Sus scrofa: one gene and its partners. The protein of the gene in region 1 interacts with the protein of each later gene in a pairwise test. Links are inferred from orthologs where the notes say so. Each region holds a gene or a part of one and is shown in the gene's direction. Other genes may lie near its edges. The genes, in order: BEND7, C9H11orf57, EAF2, EIF1AD, MFAP1, LYAR and NIF3L1.

What was found.
Region 2: the proteins of BEND7 (region 1) and C9H11orf57 interact in binary tests that used the Homo sapiens proteins (3 or more experiments, as listed by UniProt). The two-hybrid records come from large-scale screens. The link is inferred for Sus scrofa from reciprocal best matches to the Homo sapiens genes BEND7 and NKAPD1.
Region 3: the proteins of BEND7 (region 1) and EAF2 interact in binary tests that used the Homo sapiens proteins (3 or more experiments, as listed by UniProt). The two-hybrid records come from large-scale screens. The link is inferred for Sus scrofa from reciprocal best matches to the Homo sapiens genes BEND7 and EAF2.
Region 4: the proteins of BEND7 (region 1) and EIF1AD interact in binary tests that used the Homo sapiens proteins (3 or more experiments, as listed by UniProt). The two-hybrid records come from large-scale screens. The link is inferred for Sus scrofa from reciprocal best matches to the Homo sapiens genes BEND7 and EIF1AD.
Region 5: the proteins of BEND7 (region 1) and MFAP1 interact in binary tests that used the Homo sapiens proteins (3 or more experiments, as listed by UniProt). The two-hybrid records come from large-scale screens. The link is inferred for Sus scrofa from reciprocal best matches to the Homo sapiens genes BEND7 and MFAP1.
Region 6: the proteins of BEND7 (region 1) and LYAR interact in binary tests that used the Homo sapiens proteins (3 or more experiments, as listed by UniProt). The two-hybrid records come from large-scale screens. The link is inferred for Sus scrofa from reciprocal best matches to the Homo sapiens genes BEND7 and LYAR.
Region 7: the proteins of BEND7 (region 1) and NIF3L1 interact in binary tests that used the Homo sapiens proteins (3 or more experiments, as listed by UniProt). The two-hybrid records come from large-scale screens. The link is inferred for Sus scrofa from reciprocal best matches to the Homo sapiens genes BEND7 and NIF3L1.

What each region holds. Positions count from the first base shown.
Region 1 is NC_010452.4:48,176,375-48,180,393, forward strand, and holds the start of BEND7 (BEN domain-containing protein 7), read left to right. Parts: upstream 1-1,219; 5' UTR 1,220-1,530; intron 1,531-2,030; exon of another isoform or gene 2,031-2,342; 5' UTR 2,343-2,480; coding exon 2,481-2,541; intron 2,542-4,019.
Region 2 is NC_010451.4:39,774,367-39,778,378, forward strand, and holds the start of C9H11orf57 (uncharacterized protein C11orf57 homolog), read left to right. Parts: upstream 1-1,212; 5' UTR 1,213-1,348; exon of another isoform or gene 1,349-1,905; intron 1,906-2,523; 5' UTR 2,524-2,531; coding exon 2,532-2,600; intron 2,601-4,012.
Region 3 is NC_010455.5:138,678,808-138,683,039, reverse strand, and holds the start of EAF2 (ELL-associated factor 2), read left to right. Parts: upstream 1-1,432; 5' UTR 1,433-1,535; coding exon 1,536-1,641; intron 1,642-4,232. UniProt on the Homo sapiens protein: Acts as a transcriptional transactivator of TCEA1 elongation activity. Acts as a transcriptional transactivator of ELL and ELL2 elongation activities. Potent inducer of apoptosis in prostatic and non-prostatic cell lines.
Region 4 is NC_010444.4:6,333,544-6,337,681, forward strand, and holds the start of EIF1AD (probable RNA-binding protein EIF1AD), read left to right. Parts: upstream 1-1,338; 5' UTR 1,339-2,165; intron 2,166-2,897; exon of another isoform or gene 2,898-2,921; 5' UTR 2,922-3,016; coding exon 3,017-3,103; intron 3,104-3,199; coding exon 3,200-3,308; intron 3,309-3,405; coding exon 3,406-3,514; intron 3,515-3,685; coding exon 3,686-3,736; intron 3,737-4,138. Other genes in the region: BANF1 (barrier-to-autointegration factor), read right to left, coding at 288-434, 655-777.
Region 5 is NC_010443.5:127,739,934-127,744,206, forward strand, and holds the start of MFAP1 (microfibrillar-associated protein 1), read left to right. Parts: upstream 1-1,473; 5' UTR 1,474-1,674; coding exon 1,675-1,753; intron 1,754-4,273. UniProt on the Homo sapiens protein: Involved in pre-mRNA splicing as a component of the spliceosome.
Region 6 is NC_010450.4:6,087,832-6,091,331, forward strand, and holds part of LYAR (cell growth-regulating nucleolar protein), read left to right. Parts: coding exon 1-109; intron 110-3,352; coding exon 3,353-3,460; intron 3,461-3,500. UniProt on the Homo sapiens protein: Plays a role in the maintenance of the appropriate processing of 47S/45S pre-rRNA to 32S/30S pre-rRNAs and their subsequent processing to produce 18S and 28S rRNAs. Also acts at the level of transcription regulation.
Region 7 is NC_010457.5:104,597,301-104,600,800, forward strand, and holds part of NIF3L1 (NIF3-like protein 1), read left to right. Parts: intron 1-587; coding exon 588-726; intron 727-2,784; coding exon 2,785-2,868; intron 2,869-3,500. UniProt on the Homo sapiens protein: May function as a transcriptional corepressor through its interaction with COPS2, negatively regulating the expression of genes involved in neuronal differentiation.

The sequences.
Region 1 (4,019 bases):
CAGTAGACCAAATTGCACACAGACCATTCATATTGAGCCAGGAAGAAGGGTCAAGGAAAATGACCATTATTTTAAAACATTATTACAATGAAAAATTTTCTTCATAACTGTATCAAAAATATTTTCTTCAGCAAATAGAATTCATATCCCCTCTTGAACTGAAAATGCTAAGTTGTTAAAATCCCCCTAGGGATCTGCTTCTTAGTATGGCACCTTCAATGATTTCATCATAGCTTAAGCATAATAAAATCTCATTTTATGCTCCAAGGCATGAACGATCCTCAATGTTTCTCAATCAGTATAGTGTTCAGCCTTGCGGCTTCTGGAATAATATTTTTAGAGGCATTACGAGAAAGAAATAAGGGTCCCAGCCCAGGGAACAAAATCATACTCTTTATTTCTTTAGACACCTTCAAAACATCTTTGGGTGTTTGGTTCTAAGGCGGGGAGGGGGTATTAAATGGTAGAGAACCAAATTCGGTAGGTGACTAACCCTTGTTATCCCTTTAACTCTTTCTGCCACCTTTTAGAACTCACACACACACACAAAAAAATCTACACAAAATTTTGTTTGTCCTACACATGTTTTCTGGGCAAAGGCCCTGAGCTCTGCATATAATCTCTGAGGAGAGAGTGACCCAATAGGTTCAGAACCTCTTATTTAAGGGTTTGAACAGTCCTCTGTCTCATCTCCAAGCCAGGGATATATAAACAGCCTCCCCACTTGCTGCATATATACCACCTAACATAAGACCTCAGAAGGTGTACCAGGCTCTGCTTCCAGTATTTGGTGGGTTACTTGTTCCTTAATTTGATTTCCTGGTGCAGGTGCATTTATGCAGGTGGCCTCCCGCTTCCCCCTTCCTCCTAGTTGTCCCTCTTAAATAAGAGTGGATCCTGAGAAGCTGTCTCCCCCATTTGAATGAGACTCACGGTGGAACCTGTTACCACATTTATCAACATACCCTTTCCCCTCACTCTTCTGTACTCTTTTGAGGCCACCTGAATTTGTCACAGGGCTAGATGGGTCGTCCATCTCTTTTCTCTCTTTGTATTTGGTCTAGAGATGATCAGTTTGACGGCAGTACTTTTAGGCTTGTCAGATCACCTTTCTGTACTACCATTCCCAGGTGGTATAAAATTCTCTTCCATCCGCACAATGAAGTTGGTGTGAGGAAGCAATAGTGCGCTCTTCGCTCCCTAGAAAAGAATATTATATAAAACGAATACAAGCTTTGCGTTCCTGCCAATTATTCTGGAGTTCTTACACGAAATGGCAGAGCCCTCGGCACCTGCCTTGGCCATTTCTTCCCTCAGAGTCAGCAGAGCGATCCTGCACCCACTGACGTCGCACGGCTCACCCCTTCCGCCCTCCCAAGCCCCACATTCCAAGTTCTCTCCTTGACTCTAACTCCCGATCTTCTTGCAACCCTCCTGTACTGGGGTGGTAAAGAACTGAAGCTTACTCTTTTCCATACTCGGCTTCATCCGTAAATTCTAAAACCTCTCCTCCTTGCAGAGCGCAGATGGGTAAGTTTTTGGTTTGGTTCCCCACCCCCACCCCCAAACTTGCCTGAAACCAGGGAGTTTGGCCCTCCGACACCCTGAATCTCAAGGCGAGGAGTGAGCTGGCCACGAGGGTCTCAGACACCCAGGGCTATTGAGAACGAGATCCGCCCCGGGGAGCGGCGGGCACGCTCCGGGCAGGGAGCCGAGCCCCCGACAGCAGCGCCCCGACTCGCCGACCCCCCGCGCCGGGCACGGCCCGCCGTCCCCGGGGGTTGGCAGGGCGGCCAGCCGGGCCGAGGGCGCTGCGCCGCGGCCTCCGGCTTCTCCTCGGGGCGCCGCGAGGCCAGGCCGGTGGGTGGCGGCGGCCGCGCTCTGCCAGCAGGTGGCCCCGGGGTCCCGGCGGCGCCGCCTCCTCGCAGCGCCCCTCCTCCCGCGGGGGCGGTCAGCGCCCCGACCCGGCTAGCACCCCGCCGCCGCCGCCGCCCTCGGCCCGCCCGCCCGCCGGCCGCGTCCCCGGGGCCGCGCTCGCCGCCGCCACCGCCGCCGCCGCGTCCGGAGCTGCGCCCAGGCCGGCCCGCGGCGAGCGCCCAGGGCGCCGGCAGCTCCGGCCCGCCCTCCCCGCCCCCAACTCGCTCCCCAACGGAAAGTTCGGCTCCGGCGGCGTCTCGCCCAGCAGCCGGGGATGAGCCGGGCTCGGGGGGCGCGCTGAGCGGCGGCCAGGAGGGGGCAACTTCTCCCGGGAGAGCGCCTCCCACCCAGCCCCGCCGGCCGCAGCCCCCGGGCGGGCTCGAGTGGTTTTTCCCTCGCCTGTGCCTCCCCCCTGCGGATCCAAGAGACGGACCTTGGTCCCCGCGCTCCCGCTGCCGGGTGACAAGAGCCAGCGCCGCCGCCGCCGCCTCGGCCGCCGCTCCCTCCCTCCGCCCGGCCGGCCGCCCCCGGCCGCAGCCCCTGCCCTGCCTGCCCGCGGCACCATGGAGTTCTCGGAGAGGAAGAGGAGCAGGAAATCGCAGAGCTTCAAACTGGTGAGCCGAGGTAAGCGGCGGGCCGGGCCGAGCCGGCCCGGGCGGGGGGCGTGCGGGCGGCGGAGGGAGGATCTGGCGCCGCGTAAACAGCCCCCGGCCCCTCGCCCCTCGCCGCGGCCGCGCGGTCACTCCGGGGGTCCCCGCCCGAGGGGGCTGCGGCCGCACCCGCCAGGCGGCGGGGAAAGTTGTGCCGGGGAGGGGGGGGGGAGGCAGGATATGATTCCGCGTAAACAAGTCGGAGGGCACATCAGGAAATTAGCAAACAATGACACTTGGGGAGCGAAGAGCCTTCTTTGGTATTCCACTCTTGTGGCTCGGCTGCGGGGTGGGGGGTGAACGCCTTGCCATTAGGCCGTTCGGACACCAATCCGGACCAATGGTTGTGGTGGTTTGGGGTTTGTTTGTTTTTTCCTCCCCCAGAGAGAACGACAAAAAAAAAAGGTGATGGTGGCTCTTTTAAGATCGAGAAAGAAGCTCATTAGGTGTCCAAGCCCAAATGAGAATTGTTGACGTTCAGCATCTTTTCTGGATACATGATTTGGGCTGGAAAGGTTTTAGAATAGATCACTTATCAGTCGGATAAGTATCATTAAAAAAAAAAAAAAAAAATCCAGCCGTTCCCTGACGATTTAACAGGTGTATACCACAGTTTCTGGGCTTGGGGTTTGGTGTTTTTTTGTTTTTGTTTTTGTTTTTGTTTCCAGGGAAGGGGAAAGTTGAATAGTCCTGCCTCTGTTCTGTGACTGGTTAGAGTCTTTATTTTTCCTGATTTGACTTTTTAAAAACAAGGAGAACTTAAGGGCAGACGTAAAAATAGGTCTATCCAATGGATCGTGTCACCTTAAATTAGAAGCAGGTAGCCTTTTCTCGGGGTCATGTCTCAAGTCTTAATATTGAGTTTGGGATGATCCTGTTTAAATATCCTCTTTGAATCAGCTTGAAGTCAAAAGCAAACCAGGGAACCTGTCCACTCTGTTCCTCTGTTGTTTTATCTAGCATTGGCATCAGAGTAGAGAGCAGGGCGATTGTTGTAACAACCTGGAGAAGTCACATGAAAGCTGATGAAAATTAGAGGGCAATTGCAATTTCCAGCTAAGCTGAGCTAACTATGATTTAGATTCAATAAAGCCTGCTTTCGGTTAGTCTCAAAATGGTTGATTATAGGCATCTTGAGGACCTACTTCTCTCTGTTTCCTCCGACTTTGGATACTGTTGAATGAAAAAGGCCTGACATAGTTTTATGTACTCAAAATGTTTGGCTTTCCCCTTTATGTACATTTTTTCCCCCCAGAAGTGTTGATTACTCAGTCATTTGTACTTTAGAAGTTGATCCACATGTGACTGGCCTATTGGTCTCTCTTATTCATTCTGGAGTGTTGGCTGCTTTCTTATTTATGACCTCAGGGAATCTGCCACTTTATCAAAAGTGACAGTAGTTTTGTAGACCTTGTCCTGTGAGGTCTAAGGCCCAAAAAAGGAAATGGCTGT
Region 2 (4,012 bases), on another chromosome or scaffold:
GGGCCGCACAGAGCTGTTTCCCCTCTTTCAGCTGCTGTTGAATGAACTTCTCATAGCTCTCAGGGTTACTTTCAGCCAGATCATCTAGAAGGTTCCAGAGTTGAGTAACTTGGGTGAGCAGACCTTTTGAGGATTTCTCCATGATTGAGATGAATTAGGCCTCTTAAATCTGTGGAAAGACATTTGAGGGAAAAAAGGTCTACTGATTCATTTATTTTTGGGGGGAGGAGGAATACGTCAGGAATTGTTTTGTTGAAGTTAGCAACTATCCTTAATACCTGTGTCTAAAAGACTGTGGCTCAGCACCATTTTATCTTTTCCTTATTCTCTAATTATCTAGTACCACTTCCTACATTCTCAAGATGTTCCCTCAGATAATAAGGCCTTACCTCTGTCTAGAGCCTCAAAAACCCTAAGGGGACAGAGTAATCTTTTAAAGTTTGGATTTCCTGGAATTTTCTTGTTCCAGTATCCTGGTATTAGCTAAGTGGTGCCTATCCAGTTCCTTTATTTGCTAGAGGTGTGCTGTGGATTGAAGGCTACACAAGACTTCCTCAATCTTTGGTATAATCTAGTAGTTAACAGCATGGACTCTGCAGACAGAATGCATAGAATTCCAGTTTTAGCTCTATCCATCACTTACTAGCTGTGTGATTTGAGCATTTAATTTACATACATGTATCAGTTTATTCCCCTCTAAATGAAGACAATAATACCTATCTCGTAGGGTTATCGTGAGGATTAAGTAAGGTAACACAGAGAGGCTGAACACTTGCTAAGCCTTACATAAGAATAGTAATATTCTCTCCATGACTTGAGGTAACCTTCCTCCCTCCTCCTTCCCCTCAATGGAGACGTGTCCCATAGCATCGACAGAATGAGGAAAAGAGTAAGTTTGGGTTGCCTGAACACTACAGGAAGGTTAGACTAAAAGGGAAATGTAACTGTCTTTCCAGAGGTCGGCAAACCCACCTCCTCTCTTGGTTTCCTGACAAACCGCGACGCCTGTTACCGGGGTAACCATCTTGGTACAACATCTAATTGGGTCCGGGAAGCTCCAGGCAGAAAGTTCTTTTTACACCTAGTTCCGGAATCTTCTCCTTCTGGTGCTGGGCTTGCTTTCTGGCTGAGCCCGACCCACTTCTTTTCCAGGAGGGCGCTCACCTCCCTTTCTGCACCTGTTGACCTCTACAGTGTCCTGGAAACCCTCCTGTGGGAGTCTCTGTGACTCCTGTTGGTGGGAAGAATTTCTTAGGGGCACGACTTCCGGCCTGAAAAGGAAGTCGGCTTCCTTCTCCCCCAGATCCCTTCCTCCCCCTGCCCCCGTCACGCGAGGCTGCGGCGCACGGTATGGGTGTGTTTGTGTGTGTTTCTGTGGGGAGGGTGTTTGGAGGGAAGGTTACCGGGAGCTCCGCGGCCGCTGGGGGGCAGGGGTGCCGGTGACGAAGATGGGGGTATTTTCTGTGTCTTCCACTTGGAAGCCTCAATCCCCTCTTCAGCCACTCTAGGTACTTTTTGGGGCCCAGTCGAGGGGCGTCCCCGGCCAAAGCGTCCCCATCCTTTTGGGAAGGCGGAACCCAACCTCGGGGCCGTCCCAGAGGAGCGTGAGCGGGGAGTGCGCTAGCCAACTTGGCCGTCCGGATTCCGAGCCAGAGCAGCCTCCGGCCTCAGTCCGGAGAAAAATCTGCCTGTCGGCCTGGGCTGGGGAGAGGCGGCGGTGGCGAGGCCCACGGGTGAGGGCGGAATAACCGGTGGGAAGGCTGCGTTTTCACGAAGGACTCGGGTGAAGCTGCAGAGCTGCCTTTGAGCCCTGACTCCTTGGCTTCCTGGGTCGGAGGAGATCTTGTAATGGAGTGGTTCTTCGTCTCACACTAACAAGATGCCTGATTTCCTCAGGATCAAGGGGTGAGTGAGCGGTGGGGTGGTTGCACAAAGCCCTTGCTGGCTACACACGTGAATATCCCTGTCCTCTGTTTTTTGGAGGTTTCTGTCCAAAGTAGAATATAAGATACCCTTGAATGGAGAAATTTAGGGCATCTCGGCATTCGATGTTTTTAGACGTCAATTTTTGTTACTGTTGACATTTGTTTCGCTGACATTCTCAAATCTAGGTATTTACTTAATTGCAGACTAATTTTGGGATTCAAAAACTGGTTTCTAATCTAGACCTCGTTTGCCTTGGAATATGTGGCCTGGGGCAAGTTATAGCTTTAAGAGAATTTCACCTACGAAATAGGAATGAAGATACCTGCCTCATCTAAAACAATTACTTTGAGAATTAAATGATGTTCCTCAAAGCACTTAATTTGTGCAGTTTGAAAGAACTCCAGTGGTCATTACCTCCTTTCGTCCTCACATTGGTGTGGTCAGGTGTTTTCCCCTTTAGTGGTGAAGGAAAAACTATTCTGCACGACCTGTGACTTCAGTGATTTTCCCTTTAACTCATGCTTTATTAAAACACAGTAATAAAAATAAGGTAACATAGTGAATTATTATTAAAAGTTACTTATCGATTCATTTCAGATTGAAGAATGTCCCGAGTTCCCTTGGGGAAAGTCCTCCTGAGGAATGTCATCCGGCACACAGATGCTCACAATAAGGTGAGAGGTCCAACCTTGTGATTCCTCTTGCTTAATGAGGGCATACAGTGTGCCGTAAATTATTTTGGTACAGTTGGGAGATACATGATAAATCAAATAGAATTAGAATATAATTTGATAAGTATAATGGAGACATATACAAAGTGCTTTCATGCACTGAGGAAGGAATAATGAAATCTGCCTTGGGGAATTAGGAAAGGCTTCATAGAATGGGTGGTATTTGAGCTTCTGATATTTGAACTGGTTCTTGATGAGCAGGCTCTAGTGTACCAGGTGGAAAACATTATTCAGGGCAGAGGGAAAGTCATGCACTAGCATATACAAGGAGCGTAAAGAACTTGGGGCAAGAGATTGTATGTATCCAGAGAGAAGAGAAGGGGGACCAGGGGCGGGGGGGGGATGGCAGAAGATGAGGTCTGAGTGGTAAATTACAGTTAGATTTTGGTGCTTAGAGATTAGACTTTTTCCTCGAGGCAGAAAAGAAACCATCACATTTTTTGTGTTTGTTTTAATTTGTTATGAGAATTTTTTTTTAAAATGTCTTTTTCTTTTCTTTTTTTGTGTGTTTTTGCCATTTCTTGGGCCGCTCCCGCCACATATGGAGGTTCCCAGGCTAGGGGTTGAATCGGAGCTGTAGCTGCCTGCCTATGCCAGAGCTACAGCAAAGCGGGATCCAAGCTGTGTCTGCAACCTACACCACAGCTCACGGCAATGCCATATCCTTAACCCACTGAGCAAGGCCAGGGATCGAACTTGCAACCTCATGGTTGCTAGTCTGATTTGTTAACCAGTGAGACACGACAGGAACTCCATAAAAATGTCTTTTTCTTTTTACTGCCACAACTGTGCCATGTGGAATTTCCTGGGCTAGGGGTCAGATGGAGCTGCAGCTGCTGGCCTACGCTGCCATAGCAGCACTGGATCCTCAACCCACTGAACAAGGCCAGGGATCAAACTTTCATCCTCAGAGTTCCCGTTGTGGCTCTGATTAACGAATTCGACTGGGAACTATGAGGTTGCGGTTCGATCCCTGGCTTCACTCAGTGACTTAAGGATCTGGTGTTGCCATGAGCTGTGGTGTAGGTCGCAGACGTGGCTTGGATCCCAAGTTGCTGTGGCTGTGGCATAGGCTGGCAGCTGTAGCTCCGATTAGAGCCCCTAGCCTGGGAACCTCCATTTGCTGTGGGTGCAGCCCTAGAAAATACAAAAAAAAAAAAAAGAAAAAACCTTGCATCCTCATGGACACTATGTATGGTTCTTAAGCCACTGAGCCACAATGGGAACTTCTTTAATTTTTTAAAAAAATTTAAAAATTTAAGAAATTTTTAAAAGTATCATTGAGCTACAATGTTGTGTCAGTTTCTGATGTACATCAGTGTTCAGTTTTAGATAAGTGTATTCATATATATTCT
Region 3 (4,232 bases), on another chromosome or scaffold:
AAAATAATAATTCCTACCTCCTAGAGTAATTCAAAATTTGGAAGAGAAGGCAGCCACCAAGAATGGTCCTAAAGCGTTGCATGACAGTAAAGTCTCAAAAACAATAACCATTTGGAGAACGTTTACTGGATGCCATGAATTGTTTAAAATGCTTTCAGGCATTAACTAATTTAATCCTCTCAACAACTCTAAGGTGTAAGTACTACCTCTTCCCCTAATTTTAATGACAAACATACTTACTTTGGTTTGCACAAGGTCACAATGTAGAGCATGAAGCTGAGGTTCAAACTCATAAAAGATTCTGGCTCCAGAACTCAGGTGCTTAACTACCACAGGAAACAGCTTTAGTATGCTTAAAAGAGTATAATTTACACAAGCAGATAGGTTGAGGGGGACACATTTATCTACTTGCCTGGAATAATAAATTTGGCAAAGGAATAAGTTAACTAAAGAGTAGTCTGATTATACAATTACCCTGAAAAACCACCAGTGTTATGGCAACCATTTGTAAACTTTCTCTTGAGTGTTTCTCTTCTCATACAGCACTTCTCTCATCTCTACCCTTAAACTCACGAACTTTTGACAGATTAAAAAAAAAAAAAAAGACAAATTATTTTTCAATTATTAATGTTATCACCCTGTAGCCAGAGCAAAAGCTCTGGCCCTGATCTTTTGGGAATCTTGTCTTTCGTGGGGGCCGTGTCGTTACTGCCTGCACGCATCACTGTGAAGAAAATAAACGAAGGCAACCAAATGCAAACCAGCCGCAGGGGATCCTAAATATCTGTAGTTCCTAACTCTGAACTCTTTTTCCACTCCCTCCAACCCCCAACTCCTACTCCCCTCTGGGACCTGACCATTGGGACCCTGCTCTGGAACATAAGGTCAGAAAACTCTTGCTGAGGTAACGGCGTCGCCTCCAGTCAGATCCAAGGACCACGGCTCGGTGGGCACTGGTTCCTTTACTCAGGATTCTAGATCCAGCTTCGGCGCTACCAGGCCTCGGGCACGACGCCGCGCCTGGAGTCCAGGTTCCGCCCCTCCCCCGCCTCAGTTTCCACACCAGATCTCCACAGAAAGGCGTGGAGCAGGCCGATTCTCCTTTTAGAGCTCCTGCAAGTCGGGTCACTTGGCCCATAAGCTTGGAGTCCAGGCCTCCCGGCACCCTGGACATTCTCCTTCCCTAGCCGCCGCCTCACGTAGGCTACCTCGCTCCGTTTCGCGTTCCTCCTCAGCAGCACACAGCTCCTGCCGTGTACCTCAGAACCATAGCCTCCCGGGGCTGCGTGCGTCCCAACGTGAGAAGGGGGAGGGGCTCGGCTGCGGGACCCGGAGCCTCGGGGCCAAGGGGCGGGCACTCCTAAGGCGGCAGCCAATCAACACGCGAGAGGCATCCTGTGGGGGCCACGCTCCCCGGGCGCGGGGCGGAGTCTTTTTTGGCTGCGTAGGCGGCTGCAAGTGCAGATGTTTCAGGCTGAGTTGGCAGCTGGTGGTGAGCGCTGCTGGCGGAGGCAGTTCAGAGACCGAGGAGAATAATGAATGGAGCAGGGAGACCCTCGCGTATTGACAGCCGCGAGCGGGTTCTCAAGTTAGGCGAGAGTTTTGAGAAGCAGCCGCGCTGCGCCTTCCACACTGTGCGCTGTGAGTGAGGACGACCCCGGGGGAAAGGGGGAAGCTCTGGGTATGGGGGTGCGAAAGAACAACCCTCTCCAAGTCGTGTTCGCACAGACTGCTGACTCTGCGGGAGAATGGGGTGCCCAGCGCAGTCCACTGCCATACCCCGAGTCCGGAAGGGTCGGTGCAAGCACCTGGGTGGAGCAGGTGTGGGTAATTCTGGGCAGAGAGATTTAAGTGAGACCAACAGGTAGGAAGGGCCACTTGTGGAGAAAGGCTGCGGGGTGACTATGGATGGAGAGAGACGTAACTGGCGGATCATGCAGAGGTGGAAAGGAAAATTCAGTAGACCCTTGAACAAAGCAGGGAATAGGGGCGTCGACCCCAAGCAGTGCAATATCCACGTATTCCTATCTCTGCCTCAAAAACGAAGGAATTGATACCGGACTCACCTAAGAAGCTGAAACCTTTTGGGTAGAATCAGGACTCTTAACCTAGTTCTTTTAATTACCTGTGTTGTGATCTCTAATCAGACACAAGCATTTCCCCACACTACGTTAAAGATCTGAAGATGAAAATATAAACTATTTATTGAAAAAAAACCCACGTATAACTGGACCTGCGCAGTTCAGACCCGTGTTATTCTAGCGACAACTGTAATAAGGTGACAAATGGAGAGGGCAAGGGCCGAACTATTATTATGCAGGAGGAGGTGAATGCCTTGAGGTTGGTGGGGAAATGTTCTTTCCTGTCTTCATTTTTGATGTCTCTGACTGATGAGGGTGTTATTTAGTGTGTTCCTGGAGAGAGATTCTGGATCATTCTAATAATCTGTGTCTCTTTTGGACCCCCAATTTCATTCAATCAGTTTTCAAATACTATCAAAGTTTTGAAGGGTGTGTTATTAATATACTAGAAAGACATTTACTGCTTATGATTTCTCCTTTTGTTTGTCCTGGGGAAGTAGTTTTGATATACTTCTCTTTCATGTTGTTGAGGTAGAAATTGGAGCTCTTTTACTTTAATAGTTGGATGGTTTAGATTCCAGAAAGGAAAAGATAGTATATTATGATTTGGTATGTAAAACATTCATTCTTTACATAATAGTCCTCATAGAATTACAGAGTGGGAAGGAAACTTTGAGATCATCGAACCATAAACCTCTTATTTTTCTGTGGCAAAATTGTAAAGTAGGTATTTTTTCACTTCCTCTTCCTAGCCCTGCCCTTCCTTAGTCTCATCCCTCCACCTTTCTCATTCTGTCTTTAGACTGTTCAGAGATCTTTGTTGTTGTTGTGCTGTTTTTTTCTGAAGTGTTTCATGTTTCAATTAGAACACTCAATTAAAACTCACGTTTTCCAAGTTTACTTAAGTTATACACAATCTAATTATTACTAACTCACAGTAAAGGTTTGAAGAACCAATAGGTTTAACTCTCTAAGGCTATATTTACATTTTTAAGAGGGGTTTTATTAAGCAGAATTAATATCCAATTGATAGAGTAAACAGAGGAGATATGTGCAGACAGATCTTTGTGTACCTTGTTTATTCTTTATCATAATTTGTGGTCCAAGGCTTACCACAGTGAGACAGCTGTGCAGTTTCTCTGCTTCAGTCCCATTTTCCAAAAGTATGATATAGTTCTTATCTGGTTTCTCCATGCCTTTCTCTCACATAATATCTTCCCTCTCCTTTCCTCTTCTTTCTCAGGTATGCATTAGTCTTAGTATTAGTTTTTTTTTTTTTTTTTAACTACAAGGTTTTAGATTATACAAATTTGCTTGAGAATATTTTTTCATATAACTTGGGTATAAGGTCTCTTTTTAAGGGTGAGCCCCCAAATAAATAAATAACAAACAGCCTTTGAAAAACACTTTATAGGTGCTTCAAGCCTTTTATTTACAAAAATTTCCCAAATGGTGGAATTGTATCTTCAGAATTAGAGAATTGGATGATCCAATTACAAGAATGAAAATAAACAAAACAACAACAATAACCACACTAAACCTAGATGTTTGAACACACTTCTAGTCCTGTGGCAGACATTAGAAAGGTTTTCAACCCTTAGTTTTAGTCTTCTTTTTGAAATAGACAGAACCTTTCTAGATTTATTAAAATAAAACCAGTCATTGTCCTTGAGATTAGGTTCATTTTACCATATGATCCTGACTCTTATGGACTCAGAGTGAGGGATGGTAGATCTGACTTTCATACAGGGCAGGTGAACCTAATTAGTTTTTTATTTTTAAAAAAGTGTACATTTCTAATTGCAAACAAAAGTTTATTTTTATTTTAATTGTCAGCATTACATATAAAGATATATTTTTCCTCACGAAGATTGAAAAATAACTTGTTTCTATTGTTTAAAAATATATTCATGTTTAAGCTTCATAATGAAGTAGAACACAAATACATATATTAATTTCAACTTTTCTATTTACTTTGTAGCTTTAGACAATTCACTTTAAGTTGCTGAGCTCATTTATCTATAATGAAGCAATAAATTCAACCAGTGTATCGTTTTTTATTAAAATTATGAAATGCCCCTAAATTGATAGATATGTGAAAAATACAGTTTTTTCAGTAGCAATTTTACATAATGGTTCCAGCTTTCATTC
Region 4 (4,138 bases), on another chromosome or scaffold:
AAGTGAGGGTAGGGGTAAGGGCCAGGACCAGGAATTCACTCAGAAAAGCTGGTAATTGCTGACATGAAACTGGCAAGGAAAGGAGAAGGGAGATGCATGCAAGTGTGAGAATTCCAAAAAAGGTGACATGGTGAGGGGAGAGAACTCCCAAAAGATGCTGGAGTACGTTGGAAGTGCACACAACAGCAATCTTTTCCTTTGTAGAGGATGGGGGAGGAGTCCTGGCTTGGCTGCAAACTCTGGAGACTCAATGCTGGGGCTTGGGGTCGGGGGCTCCCCGGAGGGCATCACAAGAAGGCATCACACCACTCCCGGAGGCACCCGAAGCAGTCCCGCGACTGCTTGGCATTGGCGCCACACGTGTCCTTCAGCCATTCCCGGAAGAGGTCTTCATCTTTCTTGAGCACCAGAAACTGGCCAAGGACCACATAGGCCTGCAAGACAGGCAGAGGGAAGGGCATGCTGCTAGGTGCTCTGCGGACCAGGAACGAGGCCCTCAGCCTAGGAAGCAGGGCCGGCTCTGGCTAGCCCTGCAGAATACATGCCACTGCCCACCCCCAACGGGTCCACTCACTCTCCTCCCGCCCCAACTGCCAGGAAAGAGCCCAGCAGGCCATCCTCAGCCCTCCCCAGCTGCACGCAGCCACCCCACACCTTGTCAAAGCCCCTTTCCTCCAGCTTCTTGCCCAGTACGTCACCAATCCCGGCCAGGCTTCCCACTGGCTTTTCCCCCATGGGCTCTGCCACGAAATCTCGGTGCTTTTGGGAAGTTGTCATCTTGATCAAGCTTAACCTGAGAATCCCAAGAAAAGGCAGGTTAGGGCTGAAAACCCGGGAACTCCTGAGGGCCCACTACCAATCTCACAGTTAAGAGGACGCTCGACCAGTCATCGCAGAAGCTTACTCGCTTCTCCCCCCACTTCACGGACGAAAAAAGCGAAGCCTAAGGAGTCTTTTCCTCACTATTCAAAAGAGAAATCTCTTCCACTCCTTGCAGGAGCTGGTTTCGGTACCACCCCAGAGGCAACACTATCTTGCTCTAACAGGTGGCGCACGCAGAGCAGAGTCAAGATTCCAAGAGTCTGTCAGGACCCAGGGCTCGCCCTGAAATTGTCACTCCTCGGTGACCTTGGCTGGGCCCAAGTGGCACTGACCCTGCCTGCAACGGCTACCTGGCCCGTAAAGCAAATGAAGGACTCTGTCCCACCCGGCCCGCCAGCTAATCACAAAGCAGAAGCGAAGCGGCTTCTCCAGCCCGGCGGGCTGCACGCCAGGGCTCCCGCCGCGCCCCACGCCGCCGGCCCCGCCCCCAGCGCGCCGCGCCCCGCCCCCTCCCCGCGCCTCTGCGCTCGCGCGCCGCGCCCCGGCCGATCCCTCTCCGAGGGCGCATCCTCTGGCCCGCCGCAGTGCTTGAGGCGCCTTTCCCCTTCTCTTCCCCGCGCCTCCGCCAGTCTCCAGCTTGGGCCCTGCACCGCGGCTCGCACTCACCCGCAGCTCCGGTTCCCGTAACGGCCTCTCCCGCCACCCGGCCGCTCCTGCGGATGCCTCGACCCGCTAGAACTTTCGCCCCACTTCCGCTTCCGGGTCGCCTCAAGAGCCGCCTTAAAAAAAAACCCAAAATTACATTGGGCACCTCTAGCCGCGTGAAGTCATAGAGTTGAGATTGGGCCGGGGTTGAGGGGGCGGCGCGCCAGCGTGCGTTTAGGAGGCGCTCCTTTCCGGTTGCTTTGCGGGAAGCCGGGCAGCTTTCTGTGGTCTCACTGCTCGGGAAATATTTCCGGTCTGAGGGAGCAGAGGCCTGGGAGGAGAAAACTTTATTTCTCGGCGGCGCGACATTTGGAACTTAAGGATTAAACGTGGCCTACTTGGTGGTGGGAAGAATTAGAGGAGCGGACAAGGAGGGAGGTGTGGCTGGGAGGCTTCCGAGAGAGCGCCGGAAGTAAGGGGTTTCCTCGGGCCGGCGCGTGCTGTCTTCCTCGCCGTCCGGCTTGTAAGAGACTTGAGTCCAAGGGGTCTTCACCGGCGCGACCGCCGGCAAGTCCATTTTCTGTGCGCTCGTTGACTCAGCTACAAAGCGAGTCGTTGACGAGACGTGTTCAGCGTCCAGCCTGGAGAACGGGGTCGTTCCGCTTCAGGCATCGCCCGTGGGATCCGAGGGCCAGAGAGTAAGTTTGGGTTTCTCTCACTGAGCGTCTTTCCTTCGGGGTAGGAAGGGAGGAGGGCAGGCAGGGGACGGCAACTAGAGATGACACTTCGGCGTTTCCTTTGGAAACCGGCCGTCTTCTGTGTGCGCATCAGTCCTCGTCTTCTCAGTACCCAAATCATAAACAGCAGATGCCAAAGACCATGTCGGCCGGCCCTGACCTTAGTTAACTTGTTCCTAACTTGAATTCTTCTCCCTGGTCCATGTCTGTGGTATGTTGAGAGATTGAGCATCTGTTTGTGTGGCTGTGCTACGCTTGGGATGTACAGGCATACCGAAGAAGAGTTTATGTGATTCTTTCTCCCCCTGGTTGCCAGAATGACTTGTTTTCCTGAAACCCGTGTTTAGTTTTTACCGTTGTATTTTTAAATTTGTTTATTTGTTTTGGCCGTGCCTGCAGCACATGGAAGTTCCCGGCTCAGAGATTGATTCTGTGCCACAGCAGCAACCTGAGCCCCTGCAGTGAGAATGCCAGATCCTTAACCTGCTATGCCACAGGAGAACTCTTGTCACACGAGTTGTTTTTACGTGCTTTACAGTGCTAAGTGCTTTGCTTATGCTCATTCTTAGAGCAGTGCTCTAAGTTAGCTATTGTTTTTCTCTGAAGTCTAGAGAAATTGAACAGTCATGAAATACCCAAGGTGGGATTTGAATGCAAGTAGTTCTCCTTAACCTGACACTGTGTCCTCCCCAGTAAAAGGTCCCTCCCCATCTTTAGAATAGTCCTTCTGAGACTGCCATCCAAGAAACTCAGGGAGAGGAGCTGACAGTCTCTGCATCCCTCACCCCCACCCTGGGACAGGACCCAACAACATGTCTCAGGCCACCAAGAGGAAGCACGTGGTGAAGGAGGTGCTGGGGGAGCACATGGTGCCCTCCGACCGGCAGCAGATCGTCAGGGTGAGTGGCACTGGGGTGGGGACAGGGTGACTGTAGCTCAGCAAGGGTTGCAGCTGGCTGATAATGCTGACTGGTACTTGGTCTCTTCTGGACCAGGTGCTCAGGACCCCAGGGAACAATCTGCATGAGGTGGAGACAGCCCAGGGGCAGCACTTCCTGGTGAGCATGCCCTCCAAATACCGCAAGAACATCTGGATCAAGAGAGGTGAGAGAGGCAGCCCTTTAGGAGACCAATTCTGATAGCCTTGGCTTCCCTCTCTGCCAGCAGGGCTGACTTCCCTTTTCCTTTTCTCTGTCTGTAGGGGACTTTCTCATTGTTGACCCTATTGAAGAGGGAGAGAAAGTGAAGGCCGAGATCTCCTTTGTGCTCTGCAGAAATCATGTGCGCGCTCTACAGAAGGAAGGGCTCTGGTAGGGTGAGCCCCTTGGTCACTGGCTGCATGGCTTCTGAGGGACCGACTTCCTAGCACTGGAATTGGGGGGAGGGGAGGTCCCAGTGTCCCAGGCTGGATCAGCTGGAAATAGCTTTTTTGCCCAGAGGTTTCTCTGTCCTTTCTGACCTTGGCTCTTCTCTTGGCACAGGCCACAGGCCTTCTCCGAAGTGGCTGAGAAACACGATGATAACAGTAACAGGTGAGGCACAAGTCTCAGAGCAGGAAGCCAGAAAATGGGGCTTCTGGCTGTGGTGCCCTGAGGGAAAATAGAGCCTTCCTCCCTTCCTATGCAGGGGCCGTGGCAAGCGCTTTTACATATGTGGTTATGCACATGGCTGGAAAGTCATGTCTTCTTCAAATCCTGGCTTTGTCAGTTCTGAGTAACTTTAAGCAGGTTAATCTCTTAAGCCTGATGTCATTGCCTGTAAAAATGGGAGCTTTGTAAGAATTACAGAGGCTGTTGGTTCTAAAAGTGCTTAGTATACTATCTGGTAAGCAACGTGGGTTCATTGAGTGTTAGTTGGAGTTGATATTATTAAAATTAGTAGCTCTAGGAGTTTCTTGGTGGTACAGGAGGTTAAGGATCCAGCGTTGTCACTCT
Region 5 (4,273 bases), on another chromosome or scaffold:
TGCAGCCTTTTACCTTGACTCCTAGTTCCTTGTAACCCCACCACCAGAAAACTATGCCCTATGGCTACCTTATTATCTTCTCCCTAGGAAAGGAAGCATTTTGATATTTTTTCAAGAGCCAATAACAAGCTGGTTTAATTTCACCCACAAGTTAACTAAGCTGGTTTAAATTTTGCCCACCAGTTAGGATTCTAGTAATGACCTTACAAAGCCCCAACACTGGGAGAAAGTTCTCAATAGCTTCTGTATCACAAAAGCACCAAATGTAAGACTTTAGGGCACTGCATTTAAGAGTTACAGTCATATCAAACTTTTTTTTCTATTCTCTAGATGTCCGTGAGCAGAAACAACTAACTGCCTTCCCATCAGATTTACTCCTTCTGAATAGCACGGTTTTGAAGCTGATAAAATTATAATACAAATTTCTATTTGCTCTATTTTTACAGTCCTTTTCTTTCCAGCTCAAAATTGCTCCTTTGATGGCTTACTTGAGTCATCCATTGTTCCTTAATGGAGATTTGCTCAATTGTATTTCTCCCAGCCTAAGCCCAATTTTAGAACACAGATGAAATAATTTTAGAACGAATCCTTCAAAGCCCTTCAGGAACTTTCACACTCCTCAAATGAAAAATTACTGATAAAATCAAACTTTTCATAGTGTCTAATATATATACCATGCAATTTCTGTACTTCAAGACTTTGCTCATGTGTCCCTTCCCTCCCCACCACAGCAGTTATAAAATCCTTTCTACACTGAATGTGTTTTGACTTTCAATTAGCCTATGTTTTTTACACAGCCCAGCAAGTAAATTGGGATTGTTTCTGATATTACTGTAAAAGCCCTTGAAGACTTCCTAAATAAAATTCAAGTATTTGGAAGACATAAGCCTTTTAACAATGCTCCATACTCCTTAGAGCTAAACGAGGTAAATACAGCAAGTGCTTAATAATTACTTATGGACTTTCATATACAACCATTCCAGCCAAGAATATGTTTTAATAGGCAGTCTCTAGAAAGGAAAGAACTGAAACGCCTAAGAGTGTTTGGATTTCAGGCATTGTTCTAAGCCGTTTAGGGGATTTTTTTTTCCTGCCACTGGTCTAAATTAGCACCACTTGCCCTGACGTAACCCAAAAATATCGCACTACAAACCGCTCGGTCTCATCAAGTGAGAAAATCAGGTGCTATTAGCAGGATTTCTATTTCGATTTAACTCTAATTCTTAGCTTTCAACAATCTGAACACACTGTCCTTCTCTAACTCCTCGGTTTCTTCTTCATCACTTTGCCATTTTCCTCGGCTTCAAACGAACCTAATCAGCGAAACCTTTAATTCGGGTCTTCCGCGGACCTCAGAGTCTTAACCGCAAAGTCCAGAGAGCCATTTCCCGCCAGAAGTGGCGTCCAAATACCGCGAGACTAAGGTCGACAGGGAGTTTATGAGCATGCGCAGTAACAGACTCCACGGACTTTGGCTCCCTGACGTCCTCCACAATCCCACAATCCTCTAGTCGTACATTTCCTGTTTTTCTAGCTCAGCCGTAAGTGGTGTTTCTATCAGTACGCAGCAGTGTCCAGTGGCCTCTGGTGCGGAGGATTTTCTGTTCGTTGACGTTGTACCTGTTCACAGTTTGGAATCAGTCAAGTTTTGGAATCACCGCCGCTGCCATCAAAATGTCGGTCCCAAGCGCACTCATGAAACAACCGCCTATTCAGTCTACGGCTGGGGCCGTCCCGGTTCGCAATGAGAAAGGTACTGTGTTGAGCTGTTTTCCAGTCGGATCTTACTTGTTTCCCTAGCATATTCCAAACCGACCCCGGGCCCACCACCTCAGCCCCAGCGATCCTTAAGACCTTGCCCCCTATTTCTTTCGCCATCAAACTCGCATCCAATCGCGTTGCCTAGAAGGGAAAAAAACACCCACACTATTTCCACCTCATCTTGTTCCTAGAGCCTGTCGGTTCACTCCTACAGCAAGCATCCTCTTCCCTTGGCCTCCACCAATAAACTAGAGTAATAAATAAAGTGAACGCTTGCTGTTTGGAAGGCGTTGTGCGGGATACAATCCCAGTTTTGTTATCCATAATCTGTTTATGCTTTTATAACTCTTACTGTAATTATGTGTCCATCTCTCTCTACTGCATCATAAACTCATAGATTCCTCAAGGCAGGAACCCTCTCTTATTAAACTTTTTAATCCCTTTCAACCAACGCAGTGACTGTATTTGTTAAATTTAATACAGAGACAGTACCCCTAACCTTAAGGAACTCATAGTAGACGTGATTCATGCAAAAAGAGACCTATTCTAAGCAAGTGTGCAGTCTTTCGCACCCCTAATACTGTTACATAGGTGATGTAAACCAAGCGCTTTGAATAATCTCTTCAGACTGGGGTACTCAAGTTGATCTTTAAAGGATAGGTTTGATTCCAGTGAGTGCAGATGGATGAAGCAACACTGTACCTGTTTAGGGAGTCAGACTGAAAAGTCAAGAGTTTTTTCAGTAAGATATTTGGAAAATAATATCACTTCTTTCCTGTTTTTTAAATATAAGGTACTTATCCTTGTGTAACCTGCCTTTTTTTTTTTTTTTCCTTAAACTCTGTGGTTTTTTGATAAGTGCCTTTGGATACATGGAGATCTTATTAATTTAACTGCTTATGAGGTCTATTATATGGAGTTTGTTCCCTGCTGAGGGACAATTAGCTGTTTTGTTACTTTTTTTCCTCTTACACACAGCGCTGCAGTTATCATTCTTTAGTGCACTGCCTTAAGAATTTTAGGGTAGACTCCTAGAAGTTCTTCATCAATTAACTACCTATTGCCATTTGCTCTCCACAGTGGATTGTAAGAGCATTGAAAGTTTTTATTTCCTGTTATATTACCCACAATCTTGGTTGTATGAGATTTTTTTTATTTGCCCGATCTAATGGGTGTGAAACAATAGCACGTTATTTTAATTTGCAATTTCCTGAGTCCAGGATTACTAGGCATCTTGTTTGTGTGTTTATCATCTCTCTAGGTGTTGTCTTCTATGAATTATCTCTTTCAATTACCCATTTTCTATTTAGTTTGTTCTGACACATCCCAAATCTTTTTTTTTTTTTTTTTTTTTTTTTTTTTTTTTTGTCTTTTTGCCTTTTCTAGGGCCACTCCTGTGGCACATGGAGGTTCCCAGCTAGGGGTCCAATAGGAGCTGTAGCCGCCGGCCTATGCCACAGCCACTGCAACTAGGGATCTGAGCCGCGTCTGCGACCTACACCACAGCTCACGGCAATGCCGGATCCTTAACCTACTGAGCAAGGCCAGGGATCGAACCTGAAACCTCATGGTTCCGAGTCAGATTCGTTAGCCACTGTGCCACAATGGGAACTCCCCCAAACTTTAATATCTATTTCCCAGAGTTTTTTGGCTTGTCTTTTAATTATGGAGTCTTCTGTCACACAGGTGTTTTTAGTTTTATTGTTGACAGATTTAACAATTTTGTCTTTTATGTTTTGTGGTGTTTAGTATACTGTTTAAGAAATCCTTGGAGTTTCCTGGTGGCTCAGTAGGTTAAGGATCCAGTATTATCTTGGCTGTGGCTCTGATCCCAGCTGTGGCCCAGTTTCAGTCCCTGGCCCAGGAACGTCCCAATTTAAAAAAAAAAAAAAAAAAAAAAAAAAGTCTTTTGAGTTCCCCTTCCCAATTTAAAAAAAAAAAAAAAAGTCTTTTGAGTAACTTACCCAACCAGAATCCATGAGGACTCGGGTTTGATCCCTGACCCCGCTCAGTGGGTTAAGGATCTGTCATTGCTGTGAGCTGTGGTGTTGATCCCAGATGCAGCTCAGATCCCGTGTTGCTGTGACTGTGGTGTAGCCAGCAGCTGCAGCTCTGATTCAACCCCTGGCCTGGAAACCTCCACATTTCCTTGAGTGCCGCCCTAAAAAGACCAAAAAAAAAAAAAGATTTTTGGTTATCTAAGTGTTTGTATATTCTGAATAGGAAGGATTACACAGTTGTCTAAGACAGACTATAAGTTAAGGAGCTTACAGTCCAGCAGGGATGTAAATGTTTAAGATGTGTTTTTCGTGCATGAGTATTTAGCTTATCTGGAATTGTGTGTGTGTGTGGCATCCATTATAGATCTAATTTTAGTATTTACCTCAGGGCTAGCCAGTTGCCCCAACTACTCCATTGTTTTGCCGTACCCACTGCAAGTTATGCTTATTTGCCATATGTATAACTTCTTTGGTGAGGTATCTGTTAAGGTCATTTTTTTGGTTGGTTGGTT
Region 6 (3,500 bases), on another chromosome or scaffold:
CGACTACAAAAACCATGTGAAATGCATAAGTGAAGATCAGAAGTATGGCGGCAAAGGGTATGAAGGCAAAACCCACAAAGGCGACGCTAAGCAGCAGGCGTGGCTTCAGGTAAGGTCTTTCTAATGCCTCAAGTAGCTTCATCTGTCATCTTCTACTTTCCTTGGAAGCCTAAGAAATGAGGAAAAATGTATCATTTAGAATGGATAAGCAATGAGGTCCTCCTGCATAGCACAGGGAACTATATCCAGTCGCTTGGGATAGACCCTGATGGAAGATGATATAAGAAAAGGAATGTATTGAGTTCCCATTGTGGCTCAGCGGTTAACGAATCTGACTAGGAACCATGAGGTTGCGGGTTCGATCCCTGGCCTTGCTCAGTGGGTTAAGGATCCGGCGTTGCCATGAGCTGTGGTGTGGGTCACAGACACGGCTCAGATCCCGAGTTACTGTGGCTCCGGCGTAGGCCGGCAGCTACAGCTCTGATTAGACCCCTAGTCTGGGAGCCTCCATATGCCGCTGGAGCGGCCCCAGAAAAGGCAAAAAGACAAAAAAAAAGAAAAAAGGAATGTATGTATATGTGTGACTGGATCACTTTGCTGTACAGCAGAAGTTGGCACAACATTGCAAATCAACTATAATTTATCATCCGTGTATCATGCCTCAGGATAGTTCTTTTTTGTTTGTTTGTTTTTTTAGGGCTGAACCCATGGCATATGGAAGTTCCCAGGCTAGGGTCGAATCCAAGCTGCAGCTGGCGGCCTACACCACAGCCACAGCGATGCCAGATCCAAGCCTACGTCTGTGACCTACACCACAGCTCACGGCAACACCGGCTCTTTAACCCACTGAGCAAGGCCAGGGATCGAACCGGAGTCCTCATGGATACTAGTCAGATTCATTTCCACTGCGCCACAATGGGAACTCCCAGGATGGAGTTCTTTATTCCTCTTTCAGTACAGGTGCAGTGTATTTTGTCTTTGTTGCACACGTTTTGCTGATTTCTTGCAAAAATGTTTCCAAATTGTCACTAACTTTCCCTTGGCAATGGAACAGACACTTCTTAATCCGCACCTGCGTCTGATGGCGGTGCACCTTTTATCACTCAAACCCTGTTAATCCGGACGTCTGACAGTCATCAGAATCCGGCAACATAAAGACTTTTCCTAAGTATGAGGAATTTTCCATTTCTAAAACAAAATGAAAACATACAGTGAAAGTGGCGAAAGCAATGAAATCCGTGATTTACTAAGAGGTATAACTTCCAGAATGTTACTTACCATATACAAAATAGTAACTGGAGGAAAGATTCAGAAGGGAAGGCAGGAGAATGAAAAGACAAATGCTATCTGTGTAGAAATTCTGTATTTTTCTGGAAATCAAGCGGTTACTCTGGGGAGCTCCTGTTGTGGCGCCACGGAAAGGAACCCGACGCGTATCCGTGAGCTGTGGAGTAGGTCGCAGACCTGGCTTGGATCCTCTGTGGCTGTGGCTGTGGTGTAGGCCGGCAGCTGCAGCTCCGATTCAACCCCCAGCCTGGGAACTTCCATATGCCTCGGGTGCAGCCCTAAAAAGCAAAAAACAAACAAACAAACCAAACACCACAGTTACTGTCTTTGATGCTAGAGTTCAAAGGTGAATTTTCTGATTCGGACTAGCTTACTGAGTTAGCAAACTCCAGGGAGGGAAAAATCTCCTATTCACTAAGGACTGATGGCGCTACTGAATAGCTAAGATATTTAGGCCAGCAGCCACCCGCCCACTTCGGGGCCTTATGTCTCATCTCCCCAAGAACCAGGTGACGTCCTGGGCCCCTGAGCTTGAGGTGTGTACCCGGTGAGTGAGTTCCATCTCTGTTGACATCGCATCTTGAGTGAAATCCCCTAAAGCAGGGATCAGCAAACCCTGGCCCCCGGGTCAGGTCCGGCCCCCTGACCTCTTTGTAAGGTAACGACACATATCCGTCTCCCTTGTAGCCATGGTGTCTGGTGGCACCTTTAGAGCTGCAGGATGGCACTGGGTAGTCAGAACAGAAACTGAATGGTTTGCAAAGCCTCAGGTCTATACAAAGAGGGTTTGCCCAGCCTCACCCTACCCTGCCAGGCTTCAGTAGCTGTGCCACCTGTTAGAGATCGAGGACTTTACGCTGGGCTCTGTCCTGGTCCACCTGTCACTCTCTCCGTTCCCCCGCCACCCGCTCCCTAGCTGGCCTGGCTAACACATGCCTGAGACTGCATGTGGTGTGCTGGGAGCGAAAGGGAGGCCTCTCTGTCCAGCAGAGATGAGGTTGGGTGTTAGTTCTTTCCCTTAAATTCTTAAACTCCTCAACTTTGGGGATTGAGTTTTGGGGTCCTGTCAGTGTTACTTCCTGTTCGCTGAGCATCCTTCCAGATGTCTCGGTGCTTTGCACGCAGAGGGCGGATGGTGGGTCAGGGAGCAGTGGCCTGTTTAGCGTGAATCATGGTGCTCCCCCCCCCAGGCTGGCCAGTGCTCTTCTCTTCTGGTTCTGCAGGAGGATCCAGCCAGAGCTGAGCCAGCCTGACTGCTTCCTTGTTCGTGTTTATCTCATTCTCTTGATTTTCTTGTTCGGCCTGGGTACCTGGAGAAGCTTTGCCTCACACTTTTTTGTGTCCTGTATCAGTTTTTCTGGTCTGTTTACTTGTAGCTTTAGTTCTTCCTGATACAGGGACATTGTCCTGCATTGTGTTTGTTTGGCTGCATTATTTGTCCTTTTGTTGGCTCGTAAGGGACCTTCTTTTTTTCTTTTTTTTTTTTTAAATTTAATTTAATTTTTTTGTCTTTTTAGGACCTCACCGTGGCATATGGAGGTTCCCAGGCTAGGGGTCTAATTGGAGCTGTTGCTGCCGGCCTACACCACAGCCACAGCAACGCGGGATCCAAGCCACATCTGTGACCTACACTACAGCTCACAGTAATGCCAGATCCCCGACCCACTGAGCAGCAAGGCCAGGGACCAAACCCACATCCTCATGGATACAGGTCAGATTTGTTTCTGCTGAGCCATGATGGGAACTCCCTGCAGCTTGATTTTTAAGTGTTGGATTTTGTATCCTGCAACTGCTGAACTTGCCGATTGGCTCTGAAGATGCTTTTTGTGGAATTGTTTGGGTTTTCAGCATACACGACCATGTTGTCTGCAAACAGAAAAATTTACTTCCTTTCTAATGCCTTTATTTCTTGCCTAATTTGTCTGGACTTCCAGTCAGTACTGTATTGAGCTTGCAAACATAGGCATTAATACAAAATTTGGAGTTGGACGAGTGAATCCTCGAGTTTGACTTTGATGAAACTCAGCTGTCAGTTGTATATTGTTTTTATCTTCCTTTTCCGTAGAAAATTAATGAACTAACAAAAAGACCCAATGTCAGCCCCAAAGTGAAGGAACTTTTACAGCAAATCAGTGGCTTTGACAACGTTCCCAGGAAAAAGGCGAAATTTCAGGTGTGTGTTTGATAAGACTCCCTTGAATGGGGAGGGGTGG
Region 7 (3,500 bases), on another chromosome or scaffold:
AAATGCCTTAACGAGGGCACTGATGAAATCCAGTACATCCGTCCAGTGACCATGTAAAAAGAATGATAGCCTTATATAAACTGATAGGGCAAGGTAGGGCATTGTGAAAAGTGAGAAAATGGAATAGGCTTTGAAATAGTACTTGTAGAGAAATATAAAAGATAAGCGTATAAAAATGATCTGGACGTCAGTGACCAGGCCTAACATCACTCCTTTTTAAACCACTTTCTGGCCTGTCTTTAAGATCCAAGTCCTTGTAAAACCTTATTGGGCTCCACTTGCTCCAAGCACCCACCTCTGTAAGTCTCAAATGATTTGTCATTCCTTTGTGCTCCCATAAGAACCGTAACATGTTTTGTATTTAAACACACTTTTATTATGATTGTTTAATCAGCTGTCTTTCCAAGAGACTGTGTGCTCCTAGAATGTCTTTGTCAGGTTTGCATCCCACAAAATTTTAGCCTGGAGTTGGCTATAGTAAGCTCACAGTACGCTTGTTTTAGTGACCTTAGCATTTGCTATTTGTCTGTAGATTTGTTGTCTAAGACTGATAATGGACAGTTGTTCTGATTTCTGTTTCTCGTTAGCCTCTGCTTCTGCATACTGGAATGGGACGGTTATGCACACTGGATGAATCCGTCTCCTTGGAAACCATGATCGAGCGCATCAAAAAGCACCTAAAACTGTCTCATGTTCGCCTTGCTCTCGGAGTAGGGAAGACCCGAGGTACTTATGTCTCCACTATACCTATCGATAATGTGCAAAAATTGAAATTCCCAGCTCGGTCAGTGTAAATGATAGAAAACTGTGTTCGCAGGAGATGGCTGGTTTACTCTATCAGTCAGAGTGGCCGAGGTCATGCCGCCGTATACATCTCACTGGCCTAAACAAGATTCGTTTCTCAGTCACACTTCACATTCATTTCAGATCAGTAGGGGAAGTCTATTTGTTGTAGACTGGTCACTGTTGCAAAGGGAGGATTTTCAACCATCTCAGTTAAACATTCTAGCCTGGAAATTAGACATATTCTGTTCAGTTTACTATCCAGAGTTAGTCACATTGCCTGACCTAACCCAGGAAGAGAATGCCCTGGAAGAAAGCTGGAAATTGTGATTGCTCTAATTACAATGCAAATCTTAAATTTCATAGTACCAGTGTCATTTTGTAGTGAGGTGCTGCTAAGTCTCTTAGTCTCTGCTCTTTCTCTTGGCTTTTCCCAGTACTTTGGGGAACAAAAGGGACAGACAGAACAGATGTTGGACCCTTGAAGTGAGCCCAGCACTGCCCCAAGGGTTCCCACTTTGGTGGTGGTGAGCAGAGTGCTGTTGTTGTGATTGTGGAATCTAAAGGCCTTGGATTCACGTTTGTTCTGTCTGCTGCATGACTTTGATAGGTTATTTAACCTCTCTGTGTCCTAGTAACCTCATCTCTAAAACTTCAGTAATCATAAAACATAGTTCATCGAAGTGGTGGCATCATCCATGTGACAGGGCACATGACTGGCACACAATTTTTTTTTCTTTTTTTTTTGTCTTTTTGCCATTTCTTAGGCCGCTCCCACGGCATATGGAGGTTCCCAGGCTAGGGTTCAAATTGGAGCTGTAGCTGCCGGCCTACACCACAGCCACAGCAATGTGGGATCCGAGCCACGTCTGCAACCTACACCACAACTCACAGCACCACGGGATCGTTAACCCACTGAGCAAGGGCAGGGATCGAACCCGCAACCTCATGGTTCCTAGTTGGATTCGTTAACCACTGAACCACGATGGGAACTCCTGGCACACATTAATTAAAGTCTAGCTATTGTTAGCTATTGGATAGGTGTTATTATTCCCACTGCATAGGTGAGAAAATTGAGGTTCGGAGAGATAAGTAACTTATCCAAGGTCCAAAGTTGGATCAAACAAGTCATGAGAGTTTGTTTCCAAAGATGGATGGCAGCAATGGGATTGGCCTTCTGACCAGCTCTAGTGCCCTTCTTGAAATACCACTAATGAAGCATCCATTCTATAAACCTAAGTTCTAAACACTTGCTGGATTTTGGCTTGAACATTTGTATTTTACTCCTCAGTGGATGCTTTTTAAAGACAAGTACAGGAGTTCCCGTTGTGGCACAGCAGAAATGAATCCAACTAGGAACCACGAAGTTGTGGGTTCAGTCCCTGGCCTCACTCAGTGGGTTAAGGATCCCGCATTGCCCTGAGCTGTGGTGTAGGTCACAGATACGGCTCAGATCTGGCGTTGCTGTGGCTGTGGTATAGGCTGGCAGCTATAGCTCCGATTAGACCCCTAGCCTGGGAACCTCCATATGACACAAGTGCGGCCCTAAAATGACAAAAGACCAAAAAAATGTCTGTCAGACTCATTAGTAGCATTCTCTAACTAGCCCCTTTAGTTTATCAGCTTCTTCACCTGGGAACTGCCTCCCACTGTTACCTGGAGACCCAGGTGAGGTTGCTTTACTGAGCAGCATTGCAATAAAGCCTGAAGCCTGGTGCAAATAGTGATCAATACGATTCAAATCTGCCTTCTGTGGGCTTGTGCAGCACTGTGTGTCCGAAGGAATAAAAACCCTGCCTTGGGTTAGCTCTGCAGTACCAATAGTCTGTTTGCCTATATGAAGACAAATGTATTATTGTTTAAAACTTAGTAAACAAAATTCATGTACTGGTGATGAGACTGGGAGTGAAATCTGCGTGACATTTAGGATTCTTGTTATAAATTATGTTAAAATGCAGGGGAATTGTAAAGTATTGGCCTCTTGTTTCCTTTCTCTTGAAGAGTCCCCTGTCAAAGTCGTGGCCCTGTGTGCTGGCTCTGGGAGCAGCGTCCTGCAAGGCACAGAGGCTGACCTTTACCTCACAGGTAGGATGGCCTTGGATCTTTTTTCTATCCTTTTCTTCTGCATCCCTTTCCAACTTTAGTTTATTTTTTATAAGTTAAAAAAAATTTAGGTCAGCACCTGACATAAAAATTGATCTAATAAATGTTTTTTGAACTTGAGCTAAATAGGAACTATACCAAAATTGGGGATATACCATATTCTTTGTGGAAGGGAAAAAAAATCATTTAACAATTAGATTATCTAAAAAACTGATGTCCCGCACTTATTTAACCTGTCTTATTCCTTGAACATGATTTCCCTCAGGTTTCTTTTTCTTTTTTTGTCTTTTTAAAAAAAGACACCCATGGCATATGGAGGTTCCCAGGCTAGGTGGTCTAATCAGAGCTGTGGCCGCCGGCCTCCGCCAGAGCCACAGCAACACCAGATCCGAGCCGCATCTGTGACCTACACCATAGCTCTTGGCAATGCCGGATCCTTAACCCACTGAGCAAGGCCAGGGATCAAACCCAAAACCTCATGGTTCCTAGTCGGATTCGTTTCTGCTGTGCCACGACAGGAAATCCTTTTTTTTTTTTTTTTTTTTTTTTTTTTTTTTATTTCTCTCAGATTTCATGTGTAAGTTAATGGGACACTTGTTAATGGTAAACCTTGT